Linked DNA regions of Macaca fascicularis. The protein of the gene in region 4 purifies or fractionates together with the protein of the main gene of each other region. This does not show direct contact. Links are inferred from orthologs where the notes say so. Each region holds a gene or a part of one and is shown on either strand. Other genes may lie near its edges. The genes, in order: NIPBL, PDS5B, REC8, SMC3, PDS5A, USP13 and WAPL.

Region 1 (2,653 bases), on a different chromosome or scaffold from region 4:
TAATGTCTGATGCTCAATTAGTGAGACACAATTACTTCAATTCCAGATTTAAATCCCTATCACGACATTACTAAATTACCAAATCCTTCTAAGCCTGCTATCCTTATCTACAAAATGAGGATAAAATATATAACTAGAGTTTTTGTGAGAATTAAATGACAGCACGCATCGCTGTCAGGTAAATAGCATTCAAAACTGGCTTTTTACTCACATTTATATTCTTAGTACTCTCTCTGGGCTGGATTTTATTCTTGTATTTTCTCTAACCAGTATTTTACTCTTTTCGATATATTATTTTCAGAAGTGACCTCAAATCCTTTGTTGATATACATAAACTCCAAGAAGAACAAACCAACCAACCCAATCTAGTTTTGTTCCAGAGTTCACAGTATAAGGAAAAGAGAAACATGTAAGTAAGGGGAAGAAAATGAAGAGTGAGAGAACATTTCTGTGAAGAAAGCATTTGAAAGAATTCCACATAGGAAATAGATCCTGAAAAGTTATTTTCATAGTGGTTTAATAGGTGTCACAAAAAAGTATTTTGTGGCAATGTCATTCTTCCTCAAAAATTGAATACCTTCATTTATTTGCCAATTTCATAAAACAGCATTCTGGAGGTCAATTTTTTCAGTGATTTAAAAATGAGTAAAACATTTTTTAAAAGATTTAAACTTGAAACAGACCTCATTCCACTGTAAATTTTAGGCATTACTATTCCTGAGTGTCAACTATACACATCAAATGATTAAACACCTCCCTCCTGATCTAGTCAAGATATCTGCAGTAAGCAATGTGTAAATGACAACTGTTCCCAAAAAACTTATGATAAAGCTTTTAGAATAGAAAATGAATAAACATCTCAACAAGTAAAATTACTCTTTTCAGCATTAAAAAATAATTTGTGAAAAATGTAGTGAGTGTAATTATGAAGTGGCATACTCATCTCAACTTTAGTTCTAAAATAACACGACATCATTTTAACTAAGAGAAATGCTGGTTTTCCAAATAGCAGGTTACCTTTTACCCGAGGTTTAAAGAATAAGTATCAGCATCATGACATCACTAGAAAGAAATTGAAGCATACAAGGAATAAACTATAGTTTCTTTTTATATCAAAATGTACTCTTGAAAATGTGTTTGGCACAGTGCTAAATCATATATAGTTAATACTAAATATTGCAGGATACAATAAAACCCTGGAGTTAATTGTTTACACCCTCTTATGGGAATGAAAATAATAGATAGATACCAATTATTCAGAAGTCAGCCTATACAAACTGTATAAACAATATTTTATGTTTTGCTTTGAAAACCAGTGATATAATAAATTTTACATAAAAGACTGTAAAATAATATAAATGGATTTAAACAGATTTTTACAATAAGAAATTCAAATGGAAACAGACAAGTAACAAAGAGAAGTAAAAAAATTTATTGCAGTATTCGCTCCACCAGATTACCTGGGGATCCCTTTTCTTGTATTGTTTTCAGGGTGACCTAATACATCAAAATCTACATTTACAAAAACTCCTTCTGCAGATAGGTCATAGATACTGCATGCTTTTTTTTTTTTTTTCAACAGAATAAATTATATATCCAGGAGATTCTGCCATTTTACAGCCTGGAAAAAACAACGCTTCCCTGGAAACTGGGCTAAGCTAAAGAAAGCCATCCGCTGCTAGGTTAAACTCCAAGAACACTTTATTAAGAACATTAACAGACTAATTTCCAACATTCACTTGTTTATTTTTTTTAAACAGAAAGTTTTTTTCCAAGATATAAACAATTTTTGTTAAACTATAATACAGTGGGAGTAAAAATGAACTGAGAATCTGTTTCTGCTGCACAACAGCGAAGGGAGCTCCCACAAAAATGTTTGCCCAACATTTCCTTCTTTTGTTCCTGCATCCCAGGTTCCACTTACTCTTCATAAAACTGATTTTTTTTTTTTTTTTTTTGCCAGAATGTTGGTATTTCAAGTTTTTCTGCCTTTTAAAAAAATTCCTGTAAATTTGGCTGCATGTACAAATTCATTAGCTGGAAGTCCCATCCTTGGCGGCATACAGGGATCGTAAAGTCTGAACAACTTTATTAGTCAGCTTATTAGCACTCGTTAGAGCAATTTTTTTGTAAATAATGTCTGACTCTTTAATAGTGTCTACCCAAGGCACCAGTTTGCGGCCATCACGGCGCTTAGCCTCAGTCCAGGAGCCACTGTAGGAGCCTGCCATCCACTGAACACTGAAGCCATTGCTGGTTTTCTGTACTACTCTTGCAATTTGTGGTCGATCTTTGTACTTTGGACAGCAAATAGCGATGACATCCATGACGTCAACACTTTCATTCATCTGTGCTGCCAACTCCGTAGAGTCTGAATTTCGTTTTGACCTTCTCAATGACTAAAACATTGGGAGGGGGGAAAAAAGACCAAGTGTTACACAAAAGAATTTTAGTGAAATTATTGTTTTTATTGCTTTTAATCCCTTGACGCCGGGAGTTGGGATTTCCCGGCACACTTCCATTGCCGGCAATGAGACGCACCGTGACCGCCAGCGCCAAGGGGTTAACATATACTTGTAAAACCATATAACTCTTAATTTGTACCCGTGTCTTTACTCTTATTGATATATAAAATTATATATACATATGAACC
Region 2 (4,249 bases), on a different chromosome or scaffold from region 4:
ACTTTCTTGCTTCCTGGCTTTGGAGGTTTGGGAATTGAAGAAAATAAAGTAAAAAAGATAAAAACAACCAAAGAGGAAAGGTTTTTCTAGATCTAGACATCCTACTCTCTTCTTCCATACAAGATTTATGCTGATGGAACAACAATGTAAAATAAGAAAATTCCTGAGATAATTTTAAAAAGAGAGCAGAAAAAACTCATAGTGGACTTCATCAAGGAATGTGTAAAATGGGTAGAACCTGGAGTATTCAGTGGCAAAATCTTGGACATAGGAATACAGTAACACAACATACTGGTCTAGCAAGCACTGTAGGAGACTGAAGCGGAATTGTCCAGGAAATCCCACAAAAATGGAAATGAAGAGGTCTCAGTATCTCTAGGTGCAGAAAGGAGATAGCCTTCAAAACAGCTACATGGTAAGGGTGAATGAGGCAATTACCATTAGGACAGACAGAGGAAAATGCACCTAGTATCTCTAGGTGCACAGTAACATTAGTTTACAGATCAGCATTACCTATCTTTTCTTTCAGTTGATAAGTATCCTATTGTAATCCATTCATTCACCCTTTGCTTGTTCATTGTTGAAACAAATTCTCCCTGGAACAAAATTCTAGTAACCAAATACATCATATCGGGGGAAACTTCCTTACAGAAGGGATGATATTAAAGTAAAAAGAGGAGGAAGTCCCTTCTTCAGTTCTGGCAGGGGAGGAAAAGCTTCCCCAAAGGTAGGTGATCTGTTGTGACCAGGCTAAACCCACTTGAGGGACTGGCATCCCCTAAAGGTGAAGAGGGGAGGAGACCCACCTCCTGGAATGTGTCCCTGTGGTCTCCAGATGATGTCTTCCTCTAATAAGGACAATTCTGCCAAAGGAATAGAATGCTTCGTCACAGGCTCAATTACTCTGTGTCTCCGCCAGCTTACCACCTATGAACAATTCATCAAATTAGGAAAGCGGGGAGATTTAATAAAGACACAACACATAAAGTGTAGGAAAACTATTTGTATGGCATTCCGAGACGACTAGGTCAGAATTAACAAGGAGCAAAGTAGTTAATAATACCAATTATGTTAACCTAGCACAACACCTGTGCTGAATGTCAGTGTTTAAAAAAATCTCCCAATCTTTATCTAAAAAGATAGGGCTACGTAACAATCGGAATGATTTTTGTCGGTGGAGGTCTAGTAAGCTGCAAGGGTAGTGGACGCCTTGACAGCTGCCAGTCTCGCGGCCTCCGCGGCGGCGTGCCCGTGTGGCTGCGTGCGCGCGGACGGGGCGGGGCTGAGGAGGGGAGTGCGCGCGCGCGGACGGGGCGGGGCGGAGCTCGGAGGGCGGGCGCGCGCGGGGCCGTCTGGTCGGCAGGGGGCGCTGCGCACCCATGCCGCGCTCTGCCTGCCCCCGGGTGCTGTCCGCGGCGGTTCGATTGGAGCAGCCGCCGAAGAGCGCTTGGCGCCATTTTGAAGCGGAGAGGAGGAGGAACGGCCGGGCTGGCTGCGGAAGGGGAGGGGGGAGAGAAGGCGATTGGATGCGGCGGCGGCGGCGGATCCCGGAGAGCCGCGGAGTGAGAGGAGTAGCGAGTCGGAAACCCGGAGGTAGGAAACAATTCAGTTAACGGAAAGAAAATGTCTCTCTTCTCTGGCCGCGGCGCTCCATTTTTCGGTGGCCGCCACTGCAGCTGTGTGTGTGTGTGTGTGTGTGTGTGTGGCAGGGCTGAAGCGCCGCCCGCCCGGGTGCCAGGCGCGACTCGCCTCCCGGCATCGGGGGCTGCAGCGGGCGGCTGCCTGGCGGCGGCCCGGGGCGGGGGTCGCGGGGCGCGGGCCGGCTGCGCGGTGGGGGTGGGGAGGGCCCGGCGGCCGACTCGCGCCTCCACGCCGCGGGCTCTGCCGCAGCCTCTGGAAATTAAACTTGCCGCTCTGATCCCGGCCCGGGCGGCGGCGGCGGCGGGCGGTGACCTTGCGCGCGGGCTGGGGTCCCGGGGCCGCCCGGCCGCCCGCGCCCTCCCGCCGCCACCGCCGCCGCCGCGCCCCTCCCCCCGCGCCCCGGCCGGCCGGCGGCTGTTTCCCGGGCGGCAGGCGGGCGGCGCGGTGCTCCTGTTGAATCCTCCCGCGGGCGGGCTTCTCCCCCTTCCGGGCGAGGGGCGGGCGGGGACCGCGGGTCGGGGCCGCGGGCGCCCTCGCCCTCGCCCTCGTCGCCGGCTCCCCGCGCGCCGCCTGGCCTGCGCTTCGGGCCAGGGGACGGGCTGAGCATGACATTTTTGCGCTGTTCCTCGCTGCTTGCCCGAGGGAAATCGCGCTCACCGCGCCGCCCGGAGTGGGTGCTCGGGGAACCTGAGGACCCCGTTGAGCAAGAGCCCAGCGCTGGCGTGGAGGGACTCCTCCCAGGCGACAACTGGGTTCTAGCTTTCCTTTCGGAAGGAACGGCGGGGAAAATGGTGTGCAATTGTGACTCGTTAATGTTTTTGCACTGTTATTTTAATGCTACTTTAAAAGTTTTCGGTCCGGAGAAAAACCTTGTTTGTTGTTGTTGCTGCTACTGCTGTTGGTTTTTGGTAGAGACGTGAAAGCTAACTCTGAAGTAGCTCGACAGTTATTTTGGAGGAATGACTGAAACCAGAAACGCCGCCCCTCGCCTTCGGAACTGCAGGCTGCTGCGTTCCTTGCCGCGGACGGGGCGAGCTCCGGGAAGGGTTGAAAGAGCAGCTACCCACCCATTCCGCGCGCGTCTTCAACAGCCTCTCTACCCCAGCAAGGGTTAACCCTTTTTTATGTCGAAGAAAGTGCTTCTTGTACTTTTAATAAGAGGTGATGGATGGGCAGTGGTGCCCCGACTGATCCTACCCTGTCGATGAAATAGTTTCAGAAACTTTGGATATAGCTTTAATTTAGAGGGTTGGTCTGCGGTGTGGAGAGAGTTGGGTAATCCTATACCATCTTCCTAATAAACTTCAAAAACTCACGTTGTGTTTACATGCAGGAGGCGAGCTGTAAATAAATCGTCATTACCCAATACTTGAACGGCAATATAGTCGTTGTTCTCAGTTAACCCATCCAGAGTTCCCAGACAGAACGTTTTTTATATTAACTCATGTAGTGGTCAGGTAAACTAGTTAAAAGCCACAAATATGGACTTGAAAGACAGCTCGTTATGCAGTACACATGTCTGAGATGTTCGCATCTTTAGGGACAATGAAATGAGTATTCAATGGTGTATGTGGGTCAGTTCGTGGAACAGTTAATCTTGTATCTCATGGTGATAGCAGAAAACCGAATTAAAATTTGTAGTGGTGAATAGGTGAAAGTTACATGGGACCTTTTATGTTAAGATCGATTGATTGTCAGAAACTAAAAACATTTTAAGAACGTTATTCCTTAGAAATAAGATTTGTGCTTAATATACGTTTACAAGTATATGTAAAAAGATGCACTTTAGACTTTATAAAAATTATCCAAATAGTGACTTTTTCCTCCTTTTTCTGATGGTTTAAAAAATTGTCCTCTTCTCAGCTGGCGTTTACTTAAAGGTGTATTTTAAATGGGAAGGTAGTGTTTGTGTTCACCCTTTTTCTTTTTTTCTTTTCTCCTTGTTTTGGTTAAGGCTGATTTTCCCTATATTACCTTTTACAGCAGCTTTTGTTACTCTTGTCGCCTTTATTCTCTCGTGTTATGTCTCTCCCCTCTCATTTTTACCCCCGTATTAGAGACACATGTACTGATGATAGTGATTCTTGTCGTGAGATGTTTGTATTAAGCTTACTTGTAGTAAGATTCTACCGAGTTGGCTGTTTGATGAAAGTTGTTTAAATTGTTCTGCAGCTTTGTTTAACAAAGTAACATTTTGAGGAGTAGGCTTTATCAATAATTTGTTAGGCCTAAGATAAAGTAATACTTTGTGTTAGGGCTTGCCCTGGAGAAGAATGCAATGGTAGAAAATACCCAAAACTTTGTGAGAAAGGAATATTTCGGGAAGTTGTATTCTTTCTGCTTATTCCTCTTGGGAAATTTAGAGACTGCCTTAGAACTAACAGGAGTGCGCTCAGTAAGATTTGGCTTATGGACTCTTGAATGACATGGACTGTATATAACTTATATTGGAAAAGTTATTTATGTTTCCTCCGTTAGTGTTAGAGAGCAACAAGAAAACTTAAGGATGATCTCCAACTCGCTTATACATGAGAAATTCGGTTCAGATTTTAATTTCATTGATTTATCTGAGGTCACAGTCGTATTCATGTGGTGGAATTGGGGCAGC
Region 3 (3,975 bases), on a different chromosome or scaffold from region 4:
CTAGGGAAACAGCACAAGCAAAGACATGAATGTGGTATCATTGAGGCATAAGGGCCAAACTAGTGTTTAGGAGCCACAGATGCCCAGAGGACTGAGAGAGAAGTCTGGGGATGACTAGTTCTAAACCAGGGTATGTGCCGGGCATGGTGGTTCACGCCTGTAATCACAGCACTTTGGGAAGCCAAGGCGGGTGGATCGCCTGAGGTCAGGAGTTCAAGACCAGCCTGACCAACATGGTGAAACCCCGTCTCTACTAAAGATACAAAAATTAGCCGGGCATGGTGGCAGGCACTTATAATCCCAGCTACTTGGGAGGCTGAGGCAGGAGAATCGCTTGACCAGAGGAAGTGGAGGTTGAAGTGAGCCAAGATCACACCACTGCACTCCAGCCTGGGTGACAGAGACTCCATCTTAAAAAATAGTAATAATAGGCCAGGCGCAGTGGCTCACACCTGTAATCCTAGCACTTTGGAAAGCCAAGGTGGGTGGATCACCTGAGGTCAGGAGTTCGAGACCAGCCTGGCCAATATGGCGAAACCCCATGTCTACTAAAACTAAAAAAAAATGGGCCAGGCGCTGTGGCTCATGTCTGTAATCCCAGCACTTTGGGAGGATGAGGCAGGTGGATCATGAGGTCAGGCGTTCGAAACCAGCCTGGCCAGCATGGTGAAACCCTGTCTCTACTAAAATTACAAAATCATTTGGGCATGCTGGCGAATGCCTGTAGTCCCAGCTACTTGGGAGGCTGAGGCAGGAAAATCACTTGAACCAGGGAGGCAGAGGTTGCAGTAAGCTGAGATCGTGCCACTGCACTCCAGCCTAGGCCACAGAGCAAGATCCTGTCTCAAAAATAATAATAATAATAGTAATAAAATAAAAAAATAAACTGGGGCATGGAGAGCCCCAAATGCTAGTAATCTGTTTGCAGCAGGAGCCACTGTTCAAATGGGGAACTAAGGAAGGAGGTGACATTAAGCTGTTGGAGTATTGGGAATAGATGGAGGAGGACAGGGGTAAGAAAGCCCAGTACAGAGAGATGAGAGCCTGGATTAGGGCCTCGGCAGTGAAAACAGTGTGGAGACAAGTGGGGACAAGAGCTGCCTCCAGTGGGGAAACCATCTGATCAGATTGGCCCCGAGTAGATAAGTACAGGGGGCTTCGCCTGGATGGATCCACCTTGGCAGTCCCCTTGTTACCACCTCCCGTGGGAGAGAGCTGTGGCAAGCTTCCCCCCCCAACCCCAATATCAGAGTGACACAGGGACAGCACTCCCCTTCTGCATTGTCAATTCACGAGTCTGGGGGAATACGAGTCTGGGGGAATAATACCTGAGGGATATCGAAAGGACTAGGAAGTCTGGGATCCACAGACATCATCCCAAAAAAGGGATCTGGAGCATCTTCTAGGGTTTCCATCATGGCCAGGTGGTTAGGAAGCAGTAGGCTGGGTCTGGGAGAGAATGTAGGCCGTCAGGGACTGAGGCTGAGCTAGGCTGAGGCCAAATTAGCAGGTGTTCCATCAAAGGCCCAGGGAACACTCACAGCTCAGTCTCCATATCTATTCGGATCTGCAGCTGGGCACGGTGGAGGCGCTCCAAGATGTGCTGGATGTCCTCTGTGGGCAGGGAGGGCGAGGTAGACAGCCAGCTTAGCAGACAGCTGCTCAGCCCGCCCCACCTCTGAGGGTTCCCAGCCTTACCCACGAGGTACTGGCATTGTTGAGAATAGACGCGGATCACACCGATCTGAAGTTGGGCTGAGAGATAGAGGGAGAAGCGGGGCCGCGGCAGGCCGGGCTGCGGGGGTTGCACTCGTACCAGCACGTAATTGAGGATTTCCTCGCTGGGGAACAATGGGCCCTGATTACCGCTGCGCCCAGGACTGGGCCCACAGCGTTGCCCACCCCATCCCCTAACTCACCCCCCCGCCCCAGGCCCTCCTTCCCTTTTCTGGGCCTTACCAGGTCTTCACCACATTCACCCTCAGGTATTCGCGCTTCACCAACCGGCTGCCGCGCGTCGCTGCCAGCCTGAAGTGGGTGGGGAAGGTGGGAAAATGGGGACGGAGGGGGAGCTGTCAGGCTGGGATCCCGGCCAGCATCCCCCATCGCACGCCCACGGGCCCCACCCTTACCAGATGGTGGCAAAGCAGCCGGTGTGGCGCTGAAGCACGTTGGGATAGTAGAACATCGTCCCTCTGGCCTTTCACCCTCAATTCCACCAGATCGCCGTTTGGATCTGAGTCGGAATTCTTTAGGGCACAGAATTCCCAACACCTTGGAGAGAAGTCAGGATTTGGACTTCTCTGGTGGCAAGGTGGGTGCACCCAGAAAACCAAGTTAATGAGGCAATGAACAATTGGTGTATACACGATTACCGGGATAACTGAGATGCAGGAGATGGGCGCCCCTCTCTGTGGACCCTCAGTGGATCCGCTCGCCACGTGATGCGTCGAACTTGAGCCTTCTGGGTTGGGTTCCAGGTTGGAGATGCAGAGCTCCAAGGGGACGCCCGGGCCGGAATCCAAAACAGGTCCCGAGGGAGCACGGTGTCCTCCACAGCAGGCCTCGGTCCTCGAGCGCTGGGAGCGATATCAGGCCCCTGGGACTTTCACTGGCTTGGGCGGCCGCGGTGTGGGCCCGGGATGTCTCCCGCAGGACTAGATGGCACCGCGGGAAGCGCGCGCTCCGGAGCCCCGCACCTCGCTCCTCATTAGATGGCGGCTTTTGCCAGGACAGCCAATGGGGAACAGGGGTCGGGTCGGGAGCGCCAAGTAGCCTAGGCTCGAGGCAACAGGGTCTCCCGAGGCAGCCAGCAAACCAATCATAAGGACTCTGCGTGCCGCTGGGGTCCATTGTGAGGTGTTCTGACCAATGGGCTCTGGTTCTCGCCTCTAGTAACAGGCGCTCCTTCCTTGACCAATGAGCGCATCCCCGCCGCTCGCCTCTAGCCTGGCAACAAGGGCGCCTCAATTGGTAGGGGAGGTCGGGTCACGTCGGGGGCAACTGTGCTGGGTCTCTTCCGGGTGCCAAGATGTACCTTGCAACGCGCCTGACCTGAGGTTAGACCCCGCCCTCCCCCCAGTCCACAAACTCCTACTTTGTTTCCAACTAGGGCGTGTCGTGTGCTGCAGAGGTAGAAAGATGTGAGATGAGGCCTGGAGCGGTGGCTCACGCCTGTAATCCTAGCACTTTGGGAGGCTCAGGAGGGCAGATCATGAGGTCAGGAGTTCGAGACCAGCCTGATCAACATGGTGAAACCCCATCTCTACTAAAAATACAAAATTAGCTGCTCGTGGTGGCACAAGCCTGTAATCCCAGCTACTCAGGAGGCTGAGGCAGGAGAATGCTTGAACCTGGGAGGCGGAGGTTGCAGTGAGCCGAGATTGTGCCACTGCACTCCAGCCTGGACAAGAGAGCAAGACTCCATCTCAAAAAAAAAAAAAAAAAAGATGTGAGATGATAGTCTTGGAGCCCCCACAGGTCAATGAGGAAGAAGTCAATCGTTTTTGTTTTGTTTTGTTTTGTTTTGTTTTGAGATGGAGTCTCTCACTGTTGCCTAGGCTGGAGTGCAGTGGCGCTATCTCTGCAATCTCGGCACACTGCATCCTCTGCCCCCCATCCCCTCAGGTTCAAGCGATTCTCATGTCTCAGCCTCCCGAGTAGCTGGGATTACAGGCACCCTCCACCACACCCAGTTAATTTTTGTATTTTTAGAAGAAACGGGGTTTCACTATGTTGGTCAGGCTGTTTCTTTTCTTTTTGAGATGGAGTTTCACTCTGTCACCCAGGCTGGAGTGCAATGGCGCAGTCTCAGCTCACTGCAACCTCCGCCTCCCCAGTGCAAGGGATTCTCCTGCCTCAGCCTCCCGAGTAGCTGGGATTACAGGCACCCACCACCACCCCCGGCCAGATTTTGTATTTTTTAGTAGAGACAGGGGTTTCACCATATTGGTCAGGCTGGTCTCGAACTCCTGA
Region 4 (4,264 bases):
AATGAGGACATTAGGATGGGGCCATGTGAGCACACAGCAAGAGAGCAGCTGTCTGTAAGCCAGGAAGAGCACCTCACCAGAACCTAACCATGCAGGTATCCTGATGATGGATGTCTGACCTCCAGACTGTGAGAAAAAAAAATATCTTGTTTAAGCTACCAGTCTACGGTATTTTGTTATGGCTGCCTTAGCAAACTAATATACCGCTTAGTCTGGACTCTGTACAGCAAAACTGCGTCAATAGCAGTCTGTTTTTCTGGTGTCCAGAAGCACTCCTTTCATCTATCCTGTAAAATACTCAGCAGAATGTCAGAAAACATCTTTGTTAGCTGTATCAGCAAAATGCACACTACAACCTGAGCCATCTATAATGACTACATATTGTTAATGGCAATCACCATTAGCCCTTTATTCTCACACTTACATAAGGGTTCTCATTTAATCTTCCCAACAGCCCTATGAGACAGGTTTACAAATGAGAAAACTGAAGCTTCTCAAAGTCTCAAAAAGAACGCGTGACTGGGATTTTTTTTTTTAAATTATGATACTAGGGTACATGTGCACAACATGCAGGTTACATAGGTGTACACATGTGCCATGTTGGTGTGCTGCACCCATCAACTCGACATTTACATTAGGTATTTCTCCTAATGCCATCCCTCCCCCAGCCCCCCAACCCCCTACAACTGGGATTGGAACCCCATTCTGTTATGCTCTAAAATTTATGCTCTTCCAATCTAGCTACATGGTCTGTCCTTAGAGACACTGAACTAGAGGGTTGGGGGGAGGGCAGGAATTCTGGGATCTACTTTGTGAATAAAAACTGTCTTGTCTCTGAAATAAGGCAACAGTCAGCATTTTAAGATATATAACAAGAACAGAAGGGCGCAAATGCTTTAAAACTCTCTTACACATACACACAAGGCTACCCAGGTAAAAAATGGGTAACTTGGCCGGGCGCGGTGGCTCAAGCCTGTAATCCCAGCACTTTGGGAGGCCAAGACGGGCGGATCACGAGGTCAGGAGATCGAGACCATCCTGGGTAACACAGTGAAACCCCGTCTCTACTAAAAATACAAAAACTTAGCCGGGCGAGGTGGCGGGCGCCTGTAGTCCCAGCTACTCGGGAGGCTGAGGCAGGAGAATGGCGTGAACCCGGGAGGCGGAGCTTGCAGTGAGCTGAGATCCGGCCACTGCACTCCAGCCTGGGTGACAGAGCGAGACTCCGTCTCAAAAAAAAAAATGGGTAACTTATGAGTGTCTTATCCAAACATTTTAAGTTCATAGAAATAAGCAATTCATCAGCGCAATAAGACAGAAAAGTTATTTCAAGCAGAAAAATATACATAACTTTACTTAACATTCAAAGACAATTCCTGTCTCCTTAAGCCAATATACAAATCGACAGAATTTACGTTATCTGTATAGACTATAAATATGACCGAGTAAACCAAGAACACTTACCAATCACATTATGTTTTGAACTGAAGGGATCTACAATTGTTTGATCTCTGTAACTTCGAAAACCCTGGATAATCACCTAGTAAATAAAAAACACTTTTGAGAACTCACCCCCCCCCCAAAAACAATACATTAACATTTTTCTCTTGAATTTCTTTCTTGTTTCTCATTTAATGCAATATAGAAAACCTGCAATTTCATATAAGAAAAATTCATTTTGGAAAGTGGTGATTAAAAATCTGCTTTAAAAGAAAAAAAAAAAAAGTCCATTCATCGGTAATCTTTGCCAGTGCAATGCTGCTGGGTTTTATTTTTTTTAGGCGTTATAGTTGTCAACCTGTTAAGGATCTTTCAAAATCAAGAACCCTGTGTGAGCCTAACTGGAACACTAGACACTGCAGTACAATAGCAAGTCTATCCAGCAGGCCGACCGGCCCCAGCTCTCCTGACTCCAAGACCACCGAGCGCTGCTTTCAGTCACTCACACCGGCCAGCGCCAGCCAGAAAGAGCCCACGTTCCAAAGGAGTGCTCAGAGCCCGACAGATCCAACAGAAAACCGTCTCCAAGGCCGTGTGCCTGGGCTCATCTTTGTGGTGGACTCCCGCGCGGGAAGACCCTTTTGACAGAAGTAAACAACCGGGGGAGGCGGCGCTCCGCATCCTGCAAGCAGGAGGGTCCCGCTCACTTCGCGGGTTAATCCGGGAGAGGAACGGCCCCCCGCAGTGACACCTGACACCCCCAGCCTGTGCCCCCAAGGCCGCCCCCGAGCCGGGGAGGCCACGTTTCCACACATCCCACGCACATGACCCGTGCGAGGCCACCCGTGCAGGACCACAGAGCCCTTACGCCCGCGGCCGCCCCGGCGCGGTGCCCCCGCCAGCTCTCGGGCCGCCCGGGAAGGCCCAGTTCCACCCAGCGGCCCGCCCGCCCGCCCGCCCTTCCACACCTCTCGGAGATCCTGCCTCTCCTAGACCAGCGCCAGCGGGGAGGCCCAGGCTGCAGAGGGGCACCCCAATTCTCCGCGACCCCGCAGCCGGGACACTCGCGGGGCCTGGGGTCCCCTCCTCCCCCACAGTCCCCGCCCAGCCCTGGTCCAGCCTGTGGAGAGAGGGAAAGGCTGCGGGTGGCGCCGCAACACTCCCGCCTCAAGGAGCAGTCCCTACCGGCCTATGACGGGGTGGAAGGACGCGAAGGCCTTACCTGCTTTATGTACATGATTCCGGGCCCCTGGCCTGGAAGGAGACTTGCCCCGGAGCAGCGACCGCCCGGCTGCACGGTCAGGTGAGGCGCCTACGCGACCCCTCCCCCAAAGCGCCGCTCGCTCCCCTCCAGCCAAACAAAATGGCGGCGCTCGTGGAGGCGGAGTCCGCGCCTTGGAAGGAACCACCTTGCAGCCCTCACAGGGCGTAGGAGGAGTCAAGTTCAGGTCTGCTCTTTCTTTTAGGCAAAACCAGTCTTCCACAGCGTTGTTTGATGGATTTCATTTGAATATAGAATTCTGTAGCTAACGGTTTCCTGAGACTTAGTCAAAAGCTTCACTCGGAGAAGCCATGACCGTAAGGTTGGTCCGTACCCCCTCCGAGCGCAGGGCCAATGGTCGCGTCCACGAGGGGGTAAGGTTCCGCGCCAAAGCCGGGTGGGAGACTCCGAGGGCCAGTAGCGCTGCGGGCCGTCGGCCACGTGATTCCGCACTGTTTAAAAAAGGGGACCGCGCGCGCTGTGCCAGTTCTGGAACACATGGAATGCTGGTGACTGTTGGAATTCTGTGCACAGAGTCCCTGCTGCCCCTTTGTTATAGCTCTCCCTAGGAACGTTTACAATCTTAGCACGCCCCAAGCTGGTTCCGAACTGCCCACTCGCAGGACAACCCCGAAGGGATTTGTCAATGCTCGAAAATTTGTTTTAATATGTTAATTAATTCCCTCCGTAACTGTTTCTACTCTGCCATCTGCTATAAATCTAGGCAGATCTGTATAATTGCAACAAAGATTTAGGTAAGGCTGAAAGGTTTTAATCTACTTTAAAAACAAAAAAAAACATCCTGGCTTAGGTGCTAGTGGCAACCCTAGGTCTCTCTGATCCCTATCAGTCTTGGGAGAAAAACATCATTTGTTTAAAAAATGGATCTCTGAGCTCTGAAATTACTTGCTGGGAAGAGAACAAAATACCCAGATCATCCCCAGCCCTCCGGCCCGCTGCTGGAGGCAATTCCGGCCTTGATTATTTCTAGATTGAACTATTTTTAATAGCCTCCTAACTGCCTCTGTTAACCAGGGTATCTCCCTAGGAGTCCTTTATGTGGAGCCCGGATAAAATCCTATCCAGCCCTTGCTTTAAAATAAATAAATAAATAGGCCAGGTTGAGTGGCTCACTCGTGTAATCCCAGCACTTTGGGAGGCCGAGGGGGGAGGATCATCTGAGGTCAGGAGTTCAAGACCAGCCTGGCCAACACGGCGAAACCCCCGTCTCTACTCAAAATATAAAAATTAGCCAGGCGTCGTGGCGGGAGCCTGTAATCTCAGCTACTCAGGAGGCTGGGGCAGGAGAATTGCTTGAATCCAGGAGGCAGAGGTTGCGGTGAACCAAGATTGCACCACTGCACTCCTGCCTGGGCAACAGAGGGAGACTCTGTCTCAAAATAAATAAATAAATATTTAACCATTTTCTTTTCTTCTATTTTTTTTTTTCTGACAGGATCTCGCTCTGTCACCGCTCTGTCACCCAGGGTGGAGCGTAGTGGCTCGGTCATGGTTCACCGCAGCCTCGAACTCCTGTGTTCAAGCCATCCTCTCACCTCAGCC
Region 5 (3,500 bases), on a different chromosome or scaffold from region 4:
TTTTTTTTGGAGATAGAGTTTCCCTCTTGTTGCCCAAGCTGGAGTGCAACTGTGCAATCTTGGCTCACTGCAACCTCTCCCTCCTCGGTTCAAGTGATTCTCCTGCCTCAGCCTCCTGAGTAGCTAGGATTACAGGCGCCCGTTACCATGCCTGGCTAATCCACTTAGATTTCTAACAATGTCTGATAAAACAAATTTTAACCAGGCATGGTGGCTCATACCTGTAATCCCAGCACTTTGGGAGGCCAAGGTGGACAGATCACCTGAGGTCAGGAGTTCAATACAAGCCTGGCCAACATGGTGAAACCCCGTCTCTACTTAAAATACAAAAATTAGTCAGGCGTGGTGACAGGCACCTGTAATCCCAGCTACTTGGGAGGCTGAGGAATGAGAAGAGGCCAAGGTTGCAGCGAGCCACTGCATTCCAGCCTGGGGTATAGAGCAAGACTCTGTCTTCAAAACAAAAAACAAAAATAACCCAATTCTAACATTCCAGAAAATGATAAACTGTCTTTTGAGGGTCAGGAAAATAGCTTTTACTTATATTTAACTTTCATGATTCACCAATCCCATGTTCTAATTTTTGTTTCTTAAGTGTGAAATTCTAGTAGTAATAGCTACCATGAAATAACGAAGTAGTTTGGAATTTAAATAATAAATAAGTAGAACCAATATAGAATAATTTAAAAGAAAAAGAGAATTACATAGAAACAGAAGTGTTTCTGTGATGAAGATGTAAACAGTCTTAGTCTCATGATTCTCAATTTAATTAAATGAGAAACTTACCCTGTCATTCATTAGCAGATCTTTCACAATAAAATTTGCTACTACAGATTTCATTGGGGAAGCAAACTGATCTGGTGCTAACATAGAAATGTGGCCCAATGAAACTAATGGAGTTATAAGTTGTTCTGGCACATCAGCATTCAGACTCCTACTGAGTGGCTATAAAAATAAAACAGACAAAATTACCAATTTGTTTGATAAATATCTAGACACTCTACTGAAACAGTACATTTTCCTGGTCCTCCTGAATTTATCATGCCCAAACCAATCTTCTCTAATATGATCATAACTAACTTCAACCTAAGACACCTGGTACTTAATTCACCTACTAAAATTTAGCAAGATTGAAAGAATGTAGAAAAAACATAAAAAATAAAACTCAAAAGAAGTTAAAAAAAATTTTTGCTTCATGAAATCAGCATTATTTTTGACTAATTTACAACAATGGATTTGCTATATTGGTGGATTTCTTATCCTGTGGGAACATTTTAAATGACCTTAAATCATACAAAGTAAGAGTTCACTGGGTTTTGGTCACACTACCTTCAATTTATGATAATAGGAATACATTTCTAATAGTAAAATGAGGCCAGTCATTATAAGTAAAGAAAGGGAAACAGGATTGTCAGGTAGGGCTCTTAGGTACTTAAAACTGGATTGTTCAAAATTATCTACTAATACTTTCTGAGGATAAATGCACCACTGAACCAATAAGGCTAAAATTAAGTAAAACGTTCTAACATAAACACGTAAGGCCAGGTGTGCTGGCTCATGTGTGTAATCCTCGTACTTTGAAAGCATGAAGTGGGTGGATCGCTTCAGTCTAGGAGTTTGAGACCAGGCTGGGCAATATGGCAAAACCCCATCTCTATAAAAAATCCAAAAATAGCTGGGCATGGTGGCAGTGCCTGTACTCTCAGCTACTTGGGAGGCTGAAGCAGGAGGAATGCTTGAAACTAGGAGTTCGGGGCTGCAGTGAGCAGAGATCGCATCACTGTACTCCAGCACTGGTGAGAAAGTGAAACCTTATCTCAAAAACAAACTAAAAAACAAACAAAAACCACAAAACCCTTCAATATGAGGTGTTTGAACATATAATCTGATCCACAGGCCGGGAATGCAGTACCATATAAAATAGACAGAATCCTTGCTCACAAGGAATTTATATCCTAGGGTAGGACTTCATATAAACAGCTTTAAAAAATCTAGCTTCCATCTTCATCAAACTATACAGCTTAAAAAATAAAGACCAATATAAACACAACCTATATATTAGATATACCTCAAAAATCTGTGCAAGCTGGACTTCTTTATTTGTGAATATGGCGTGTATACAGTGCACAGCCTGTTTTGCTTGGTGTGGAGTACCCCTCTTTGCTTTTTGATGTAAAATGGGAATTAAGGTCCTGCAAAAAATAATATAGTTTTTTTTTTTCTTAAACCCATAAACAAACAATTATTCCTTTGGTTGACTTCCACGTCCCCTATATGGATGGATGCTGGTAGAGAAGGCTCTCTTAAAAATTATCTGATCTAAAGAAACTTGTAAAAAAGCTCCCTCTCTGCCCCCAAGTATAAACCAAGAAATACAATGCCTCAAGAAAAAGCCTACTTGAGGAGACAATTTTCATTTTAAAGCTACCTGACAAATATGCAAAATAACAAGTAACCCTTAATTCATAATCTAAAGCTTATCCCATGACATATTTTTACATTTACCTTCTAAGTAGGAGATTGCTAATTTTTCAATTCCCTTTTATAATCCCCTTCAGTTATTTCAAAGTAGCTATGGAAAGAGAGTAGCAAAAGACCAAGTTGTATTAAGCAGCTGAAATAATACTAGTGAAAGAAAGTATGCAAAGATACAGCTACATATATATCACTAGGATGGCAATATAAATATCTAACTATTATGTGCCAGGCACCATTCTAGGTATTTCTGCATGGATTAATTCAACTAATGTTCACATCCACCCAAAGACGACTATTATAGTCATTACACAGATGAGAAAATTAAAGCACAAAGATGTTATTTAAGCCTCCTAAGATGACGAAGTTAGGAAACTGGGAGTTGGGATTTGAAAATTAGCACCTCTTTCAAAATCCATACACTTACCCTCTACACTGACAATGAAAAGTAATCTAAAACAGTCTTCTTTCAGGACGAGATGGAAAAACATGTAACACTCTCCAAAAATTAAATGTTGATGACACGAAAAAACATTAGGTAGAATGAAGAAAACAGTGTGCATATATGAACTTATAAAAAATAGACAAACACATCTAGTAGATGAACATTCATAGAAAGTATACATATCAAATGTTAATGGTGACTATTTCGTTACATCTTTTCTAGTTTCAGTTTGCTGCAATGAACATTAAGTATTTTTATAATCAGAAGAAAATTGATGGCCAGGCGCGGTGGCTCACGCCTGTAATCCCAGCACTTTGGGAGGCCGAGGCGGGCGGATCACAAGGTCAGGAGATCGAGACCACGGTGAAACCCCGTCTCTACTAAAAATACAAAAAATTAGCCGGGCGCGGTTGTGGGCGCCTGTAGTCCCAGCTACTCGGGAGGCTGAGGCAGGAGAATGGCGTGAACCCGGGAGGCGGAGCTTGCAGTGAGCCGAGATCGCGCCACTGCACTCCAGCCTGGGCGACAGAGCGAGACTCCGTCTCAAAAAAAAAAAAAAAAAAAAAAAGAAAATTGATAA
Region 6 (4,131 bases), on a different chromosome or scaffold from region 4:
ATTTTTAAGTTTCGTAAAACCAAGTCTATCTCTGTAATTGGAGAAAACATCATCCATGAACCTGAAAGGTAATAAGCTGATGAGACTAAATTCAAAGCAAAAGCTCGCTGAGAGTATCTGCCCCAATGATGAAGATGACAATAGTGTCTGATTTTTTGCTCAGTGCCACCCCCTCCGTTTCCAACAGATAGCATTTGGGAGTGATGAGTTATAAGAAAGTGTGGTGCGCTCCAAGCTTGCTTGAGGGTATGGAAATCTCGAGACAGGTCTGGAGAACCAGGGAGAGTTAACAGATAAATAATGTAAGAAAAAAAAAAAAAAAAAAAGAACTTAAGGACTGTCTGATCTGGGAGAAGTTTACAAAAATTAGCGTTTTGGTTCACTATTTCTCGCTCTTTCGGCGTTTCATTAACTGGATACCCTGCTATGAATATATATATTGGGTGTAGTTAAGAGAACCTCTATGTCACTAAAACCGTCTTATGAGTTTTTTGGAGAAAATGAGAGGACGCTGGGAGACATGCTCTGCTTGCAAATGATCAACCCCCCAGCCCAATCCCATTCATCATTGATTTTGAGGAACTGATGAGTAAGACAGGAATATGTATGTTTGCCTACAAAATCCTCAAATCAGGCCACTGAATGTTCGACATGGGAACTTTGAATCACATAGAAGATACTCCAAAGGCCGAGAAAAATAGAAAGCCTCCCGACGCCCTGAAAAAATCTTGACCATCTCTGACTTCCTCCAATAAGAAAACCTATATTATTATTATACACACGCACACACACCCTCTATCCTCACTCGATCTTGTTCTATTCTATTTTTGAGCTTTGGATGTTAAAGTAAGGAACGAAGCTTAGTGGGGAAACACCGAAGTGCATGGCGCAAATTTAGATTTAAGCCTCACGTTAGATTCCAGATTTGCACATCGAGTCCTGCCCCTACCCAATCCGGGGACGTCACCGCTCTAGTCTTTGGCTGTTTTAAAAGCAAGCGGTTTTTAAAACCCCCAATCCTCCTCTTTGTGTTTGCCTCCTCGGAGTTGCCCCTCTGCAAGCCAAGAGTTCGGGATAGAAAAACACCTACGTGGTGTTTTCCCGGGGCTCTCCCGCGCCGCAGTCGGCCGCCAGCCCGCTCGGGCTCCCGCGCCGACGCCTCAGGGGCTCGCCCTCCGACCCCGCCGCCGAGCCCGGCCCGCTCGCAGGGCCCCTCTCCAGCTCCCCCTCCCCGGCGCGCTGCGGCTGGCGCTCCCCAGCCCCGCCTGACGCTGCAGCTGGGCCGGAGACTCGCCATTGGATTAAAAATAGCAGCGTCGCCCGCCCGCCCCGAGCCCCCGGTGCCCGCTCCCGCCCTGCGGCCCGCTCTCCCCGCCCGCCCCGGCTCGCCCGGCTGCGGTCGCCCGCGCAGCCCGCGCGTCCGCCCGCTCGCTGGCGCCACCGCCGCCGGCGGACAGCGCGCTCCGGCTCCGGCTCGGCTCGCTCGGCTCCTGTGCGTGCCGAGGCCATGCAGCGCCGGGGCGCCCTGTTCGGCATGCCGGGCGGCAGCGGAGGCCGGAAGATGGCTGCAGGAGACATCGGCGAGCTGCTGGTGCCCCACATGCCCACGATCCGCGTGCCCAGGTCCGGCGACAGGGTCTACAAGAACGAGTGCGCCTTCTCCTACGACTCCCCCGTAAGTGAGGCGCCTCGGGGGAGGGTCGCGGGGCCGGCGGCCTGCGGCACGTGAAGCCGGGGTAGAAGATGCGCAGTGGCGGCCGGGGACCTCTTCTCTTTCTCTGGGCGGCAGAATTGGCTCAGGAGCACTGCAGTTCGGCAGACAGTGAGCGCCCCAGGGCTGCTGCAGCCGAGGACTGGTGGCTTTGCTCCTCCAGCCTCCCCAGGCTGGAAGGGCCCAATTCCCAGCAGCTTGCACACAGCCCCGCCGCCGTTTAAAGATAGATGAGGTCCAAGAGTTCCCTGTTCCGAACTGCACGTTGCAGATCGTTTGCGTCCTCCCCGGGGCAGAGCGCAGGGCGGGTAGGTGGACGGGATGATTCCCCCACACCCCCGGACACACAGCCCTTCCTTTTCTGGGACCACTTGCTTTGCTCAGGGATCCCCACTCCTGGACAATTCTGATTTGCTCTCTGAGCTTTTCTTCCACCACTTCCCATTTCACCCTACTCCTTTTCTTGCCTTTAGAATGTCAGGGCCGGGCGCGGTGGCTCACGTCTGTAATACCAGCACTTTAAGAGGCGGAGGCGGGCGGATCGCCTGAGGTCAGGAGTTCGAGACCAGCCTGGCTAATATGGCGAAACCCCGTCTTTACTTAAAAACCCCCCAAAATTAGCCGGGTGTGGTGGCGGGCGCCTGTAGTCCCAGCTACTCGGGAGGCTGAGGCTTGAGAATCGCTTGAACCGGGAAGGAGGAGGCTGTAGTGAGCCGAGATCGCGCCACTGTCCTCCAGCCTGGGCGACAAAGCGAGACTCCGTCTCAAAAAAAAAAAAAAAAAAAAAAAAAAAGAAAAAGGAAAAGAAAAAAAAGGCAGACGAAACCTTCCGGTGCCTCCAATCGGGCAGCAGAAATAGGGGATCTACTGGATTGTGATGGTTTTCTTAAGCCTTTCCCCCTTACCCTTCTAAATGAGTCACTTGGACTGACATGCTCAAGTATAAATTATTAAAAGTTCAATCCCGAGTCGTGACCTCGGAGAATGGAGGAGGAAGCTGAGAGGGATCGCCGCCTTCTACCGGGGCGGTTGGTGGTGGTTTTCACCTGGTTCTATGTGAAAGTGTGAGAAGCAGCAGGAGGGTGAATGTCCCTTTCAAAAGTCAAAATAGGCTTCTAAGTGACTCAGCTGTCTGGCGTTTATCATGTCTTTTTGAGGACCAAGTTATTTTTATCCACCCACTTTAGATCTCATATGTCACCCGGCAGATCTCAATGCATTGGAAGGCGCATGGATTGGATGGACCGAGGCAGGTCTTGCAATTGTCCAATACCTTTGATTCATAGTATGTGGAGTATTGTCAGAGGGGAAAAGAAAAGTCCAAATGAGCGGCAACATTTCCAAAGTTTCCTTTATTATCTGTGGGTTGATTTTGGCTGGCTGCAAAGCATTTTTGCTCGATACACATTGGAGTATCAGAGTTAGTATCCTCTCTGTGACATTAGTTTTTTTATTTATGGTAATTACATATCATTTGAGGGATAAAACCTAACTTATTTTTTGACTGCTTACTTTTTTTTATTTCGAAAAGATCCAGAGTGGAATGTGAGAATCGGCAGTCCTTTCTTAGTATGTTATCCATAAATTATTTGAAAATGCCATTTTCAGATTGTATGGCCAGTGTTGGGCAGTTCCTAAAGTTGGAGAGGGATGATAGTGGTAACTAACCTAAGCAATTGACAGACTGTTACCTCCACGAGGAAGAAAGTGGCTTAAGTCTTTTAGGATAGCATGACATGGAAAGTGGGGTCAAATGACTTTCCCCATGTTTGATTTGGGCTCTTCTTCAAATTCTGTTTACAAACTTTGCTCTTGGAAGTTTTTGCTGCATAATGTAGTGGATAGCAGGTGTGGAAAAAAAGGCTGATTTTTAAAATTCACTTCCACAAATAGTTATTGGGAGCTTACTGTGTGTGTTTCTAGAATGTTACTATTCTAGAAACATCTCGTCCAGTGTAGACTGATGATTTCAGTCACATCATAGCAGTTCCTTGTGGGAGACTGGGATTAATTTACAAGGCTGATGAATCAGTATATTTCATTATCTATGTTTCGGGCAGGAAGGGAAGGAAGGTTTGATAATATTTATCTTAAAGCACAGTGCTTGATAATGAGAAGTTTTTTTTTTTTTTTTTTTTTTTTTTTGAGATGGATTTTTGCTCTTGTTGCCCAGGCTGAAGTGCAATGGCATGATCTCAGCTCACTGCAACCTCCGCCTCCTGGAGTCAAGCGATTCTCCTGCCTCAGCCTCCCAAGTAGTTGGGATTACAGGCGTGTGCCACCACACCAGGCTAGTTTTGTATTTTTAGTAAAGACAGGGTTTCGCCATGTTGGTTAGGCTGGTCTCGAACTTCTTACCTCAAGTGATCCACTCACTTTGGCCTCCCAAAGTACTGGTATTACAGGCATGAGCCACTGCA
Region 7 (3,500 bases), about 59 Mb from region 4:
TAGTGAAACCTCATCTCTTAAAAACAAACAAAAAATAGAATTTGCTTTATTATGCAGTTAACAGTGAACTTAGACATTATAGTGTGTGATTTTAAGGGCAGTGGATCCCCAATGGCCTTTACTATGGCATCCTAATTTCCAAAAATAATTTGCTATATAAACATTTAATCAGACACCTGGTCTGATGCTTCTCTATTTCTGGGGGCTCAAAGTTTAAATCTTTAGATAGTTGCATTTTCTGTATATTGAAATAAGTGTAAGTACAGAATATCTCAAGTGTTGGGATATCCCAAATGTAAGACCTTTTTTTTGTATTCACATTTATCTAGAATATTTCACCTTCAGTATTTTTAGATTGTGTTAGTAGAGTGTCCTGGCCAGGTGCGGTGGCTCACACCTATAATCCTAGCACTTTGGGAAGCTGAGATGGGCAGATTGCCTGAGCTCAGGAGTTTGAGACCAGCCTGGGCAACATGTGAAACCCCATCTCTATTAAAAATGCAAAAAGTTACCCGGGCGTAATGGTGCGTGCCTGTAATCCCAGCTACTCAGGAGGCCGAGGCACAAGAACTGCTGGAACCCAGGAGGTGGAGGTTACAGTGAGCCGAGATTGTGCCACTGCACTCCAGCCTGGGCGACAGAGCGAGACTCCCTCTCAAAAAAAAAAAAAAAAAAAAAAGTAGAGTGTGCTGACTTAACTACCTGATCTGAGTGATTTTGAGACAGTTTATTAATGATTTAAAAAATTATTTGGTTCAACCAGAGTTGATTGGTTTATTTTATTTTTTTAAGTGATCCTCCCAACTCACCCTCTCAAGTAACTGGGACTACAGGCTCCTGCCACTATGCCAGGCTAGTTTTTGTATTTTATTTTGTTTTGTTTTGTTTTATTTTATTTTTTATTTTTTTATTTTATTTTATTTATTTTGAGATAGAGTCTCACTCTTGTCACCCAGGCAGGAGTGCAGTGACACCATCTCAGCTCACTGCAGCCTCCGCCTCCTGGGTTCAAGTGATTGTGCTGCCTCAGCCTCCCGAGTAGCTGGGATGACAGACGAGCGTCACCATGCCCAGCTAATTTTTTTGTATTTTCAGTAGAGACGGGGTTTCATCATGTTGGCCAGGCTGGTCTTGAACTCCCGACCTTAGGTGATCTGCCTTCCCCAGCCTCCCAAAGTGCTGGGATTAACAGACGTGAGCCACTGCGCCCAGCCTAATTTTTGTATTTTTAATAGAGACGAGGTTTCACCATGTTACCAGGTTGATCTCGATCACCTTACCTCAGGTGATCTGCCCGCCTCAGCCTCCCAAAGTGCTGGGATTACAAGTGTGAGCCACCACGCCTAGCAATTGGTTTATTTTAAAGAAATCCAAATACGTGTATTTCAGCATCCTGGGTTTATATACGGATGCAAACACAGCTGTGTTTTCCAAGGGAAAAAATGTGTTAAGGGTTTGATATAGATTTAAAATTATTATTTAAATTATTGATTTTAAACTGAAATATGACTACTATGTCATAAAGAATAGGCTGGGCGTGGTGGGTTACGCCTGTAATCTTAGCACTTTGAGAGGCCAAAGTGGGTGTATCACTTGACCTCACGTGTTCAGAACCAGCCTCGGCAACATGGTGAAACCCCATCTACAAAAAAATAGAAAAAAATCAGCTGGGCATGGTGGCGTCTGCCGATTGTCCCAGGTACTTGGGAAGCTGAAGTGGGGAGGATTGCTTGAGTCCAGACAGACAAGGCTTCAGTGAGCTGATGTGGTGCCACTGCAGTCTAGTCTGGATGACAAAGTGAAACCTTGTCTCAAAAAGAAAAAAAATGAGGTATGTCATAATAGAATTTATATATATATATATGCACACTCACACACACATATCTGTAAAAATGTTCTATAAACTCTTCGTTTAGCACAGAATAGCCAAATAAATATTTAACTCAGCTTATATTCTTCTAGCTATCAGGCATTCATATATGGATGATCCATTGAAAGGAAAATTTTAAGCAACAGCGTTTAATTTTTTTTTTTTTTTTTTTTTTTTTTTTGAGACGGAGTCTCGCTCTGTCGCCCAGGCTGGAGTGCAGTGGCGCGATCTCGGCTCACTGCAAGCTCCGCCTCCCGGGTTCACGGCATTCTCCTGCCTCAGCCTCCCGAGTAGCTGGGACTACAGGCGCCCACAACCGCGCCCGGCTAATTTTTTGTATTTTTAGTAGAGACGGGGTTTCACCGTGGTCTCGATCTCCTGACCTTCTGATCCGCCCGCCTCGGCCTCCCAAAGTGCTGGGATTACAGGCGTGAGCCACCGCGCCCGGCCAGCGTTTAATTTTTTAAACATGTTTCTTCAGAATATTTGGTAATATGTTTTAAGTGTTCTAACTTGTAAACAAAAGTCATTAACCATCTTATTTCCTGAGATGTCAGGAGTTGCTTACATGAACTTTTTTCTCTTTTCCTTTTTTTGGCCTGTGGAAGAATCTGTCCCTGTGTACAGCTGCCCTCATGTATATACTGAGTAGAGACCGTTTGAACATGGATCTTGACAGAGCTAGCTTAGATCTAATGATTCGACTTTTGGAACTGGAACAAGATGCTTCGTCAGCCAAGCTACTGAATGAAAAAGATATGAACAAAATTAAAGAAAAAATCCGAAGGCTCTGTGAAACTGTACACAACAAGCATCTTGATCTAGAAAATATAACGGTGGGTTCCTTCTTCCTTCCTTCTAAGATGAGAATTACTTTCATAAAGTCTTTGGTTAGTTACAGCAGCTGTGTGACTGTGGGCAAATTATTTTAACTCTAACCTTGGTTTACAGTTTGGCAAATTTCTTAGGTTTAGATCTGAGCATAATTTCCTTCCTTTCCTGAACTTCCTAAACTAGTTTATCTGTATTTAGGCTTTTTGCCCAGTAAATAGTTGCATTTTCTGTGCATTTTTTCTAATCCTTTTCTCTTTATTTTTTATTTTTTAAGGAAAAAAATGGGCCGGGCACAGTGGCTCATGCCTGTAATAACCAGCATTTTGAGAGGCCGAAGCAGGTGGATTGCTTGAACCTGGGAGTTTGGGTCCAGCTTGGGTGACATGGGGAAACCCCAGCTCTACAGAAAATACAAAAAGTTAGCCAGATATGGTGGTGTGCACCTGTAGTCCCAGCTACTCAGGAGGCTTAGGTTGGGGGAATATCCTGAGCCAAGGGAGTTTTAAGGTACAGCGAGCCGAGGTTGTGCCCCTGCACCTCCAGTCTGGGTGGCAGAGTAAGATCGTCTCAAAAAGAAAGGGTAGAAACTACATTTAGGCTATTAGGAATTTGAATTCTTTTTCTCCATGGATTTCAGGAATAAAAGTTTCAGAGGATTTACGTCTGCCATTTTCTTTTTTAATTTTTATTTTATAATAATAGTAATAATTATTATTTTTTGAGACAGGGTCTTGCTCTGTTTCCCAGGCTGGAGGGCAGTGGTGCAGTCATAGCTCATTGCAGCCTCAAACCCCTA

The links.
Region 1: the proteins of SMC3 (region 4) and NIPBL purify together in Homo sapiens (affinity purification with western blotting; 4 studies listed by BioGRID, with this or other methods). This does not show direct contact. The link is inferred for Macaca fascicularis from reciprocal best matches to the Homo sapiens genes SMC3 and NIPBL.
Region 2: the proteins of SMC3 (region 4) and PDS5B purify together in Homo sapiens (co-immunoprecipitation; 7 studies listed by BioGRID and IntAct, with this or other methods). This does not show direct contact. The link is inferred for Macaca fascicularis from reciprocal best matches to the Homo sapiens genes SMC3 and PDS5B.
Region 3: the proteins of SMC3 (region 4) and REC8 purify together in Homo sapiens (affinity purification with mass spectrometry; 3 studies listed by BioGRID and IntAct, with this or other methods). This does not show direct contact. The link is inferred for Macaca fascicularis from reciprocal best matches to the Homo sapiens genes SMC3 and REC8.
Region 5: the proteins of SMC3 (region 4) and PDS5A purify together in Homo sapiens (affinity purification with western blotting; 8 studies listed by BioGRID and IntAct, with this or other methods). This does not show direct contact. The link is inferred for Macaca fascicularis from reciprocal best matches to the Homo sapiens genes SMC3 and PDS5A.
Region 6: the proteins of SMC3 (region 4) and USP13 purify together in Homo sapiens (affinity purification with mass spectrometry; 4 studies listed by BioGRID and IntAct, with this or other methods). This does not show direct contact. The link is inferred for Macaca fascicularis from reciprocal best matches to the Homo sapiens genes SMC3 and USP13.
Region 7: the proteins of SMC3 (region 4) and WAPL purify together in Homo sapiens (affinity purification with mass spectrometry; 7 studies listed by BioGRID and IntAct, with this or other methods). This does not show direct contact. The link is inferred for Macaca fascicularis from reciprocal best matches to the Homo sapiens genes SMC3 and WAPL.

The regions. Positions count from the first base shown.
Region 1 is NC_088380.1:37,376,700-37,379,352, reverse strand, and holds the end of NIPBL (nipped-B-like protein), read right to left. Parts: intron 2,400-2,653; coding exon 2,034-2,399; 3' UTR 501-2,033; downstream 1-500. UniProt on the Homo sapiens protein: Plays an important role in the loading of the cohesin complex on to DNA. Forms a heterodimeric complex (also known as cohesin loading complex) with MAU2/SCC4 which mediates the loading of the cohesin complex onto chromatin.
Region 2 is NC_088391.1:12,291,725-12,295,973, forward strand, and holds the start of PDS5B (sister chromatid cohesion protein PDS5 homolog B), read left to right. Parts: upstream 1-1,449; 5' UTR 1,450-1,593; intron 1,594-2,053; exon of another isoform or gene 2,054-2,432; intron 2,433-4,249. UniProt on the Homo sapiens protein: Regulator of sister chromatid cohesion in mitosis which may stabilize cohesin complex association with chromatin. May couple sister chromatid cohesion during mitosis to DNA replication.
Region 3 is NC_088381.1:91,987,134-91,991,108, reverse strand, and holds the start of REC8 (meiotic recombination protein REC8 homolog), read right to left. Parts: upstream 2,801-3,975; 5' UTR 2,376-2,800; intron 2,275-2,375; 5' UTR 2,189-2,274; coding exon 2,133-2,188; intron 2,029-2,132; coding exon 1,960-2,028; intron 1,842-1,959; coding exon 1,542-1,841; intron 1,450-1,541; coding exon 1,329-1,449; intron 1-1,328. UniProt on the Homo sapiens protein: Required during meiosis for separation of sister chromatids and homologous chromosomes.
Region 4 is NC_088383.1:119,651,594-119,655,857, reverse strand, and holds the start of SMC3 (structural maintenance of chromosomes protein 3), read right to left. Parts: upstream 2,801-4,264; 5' UTR 2,678-2,800; coding exon 2,663-2,677; intron 1,541-2,662; coding exon 1,465-1,540; intron 1-1,464. UniProt on the Homo sapiens protein: Central component of cohesin, a complex required for chromosome cohesion during the cell cycle. The cohesin complex may form a large proteinaceous ring within which sister chromatids can be trapped.
Region 5 is NC_088379.1:39,170,145-39,173,644, forward strand, and holds part of PDS5A (sister chromatid cohesion protein PDS5 homolog A), read right to left. Parts: intron 2,193-3,500; coding exon 2,069-2,192; intron 946-2,068; coding exon 787-945; intron 1-786. UniProt on the Homo sapiens protein: Probable regulator of sister chromatid cohesion in mitosis which may stabilize cohesin complex association with chromatin. May couple sister chromatid cohesion during mitosis to DNA replication.
Region 6 is NC_088376.1:91,427,980-91,432,110, forward strand, and holds the start of USP13 (ubiquitin carboxyl-terminal hydrolase 13), read left to right. Parts: upstream 1-1,331; 5' UTR 1,332-1,507; coding exon 1,508-1,675; intron 1,676-4,131. UniProt on the Homo sapiens protein: Deubiquitinase that mediates deubiquitination of target proteins such as BECN1, MITF, SKP2 and USP10 and is involved in various processes such as autophagy, endoplasmic reticulum-associated degradation (ERAD), cell cycle progression or DNA damage response.
Region 7 is NC_088383.1:60,172,456-60,175,955, forward strand, and holds part of WAPL (wings apart-like protein homolog), read left to right. Parts: intron 1-2,478; coding exon 2,479-2,706; intron 2,707-3,500. UniProt on the Homo sapiens protein: Regulator of sister chromatid cohesion in mitosis which negatively regulates cohesin association with chromatin. Involved in both sister chromatid cohesion during interphase and sister-chromatid resolution during early stages of mitosis.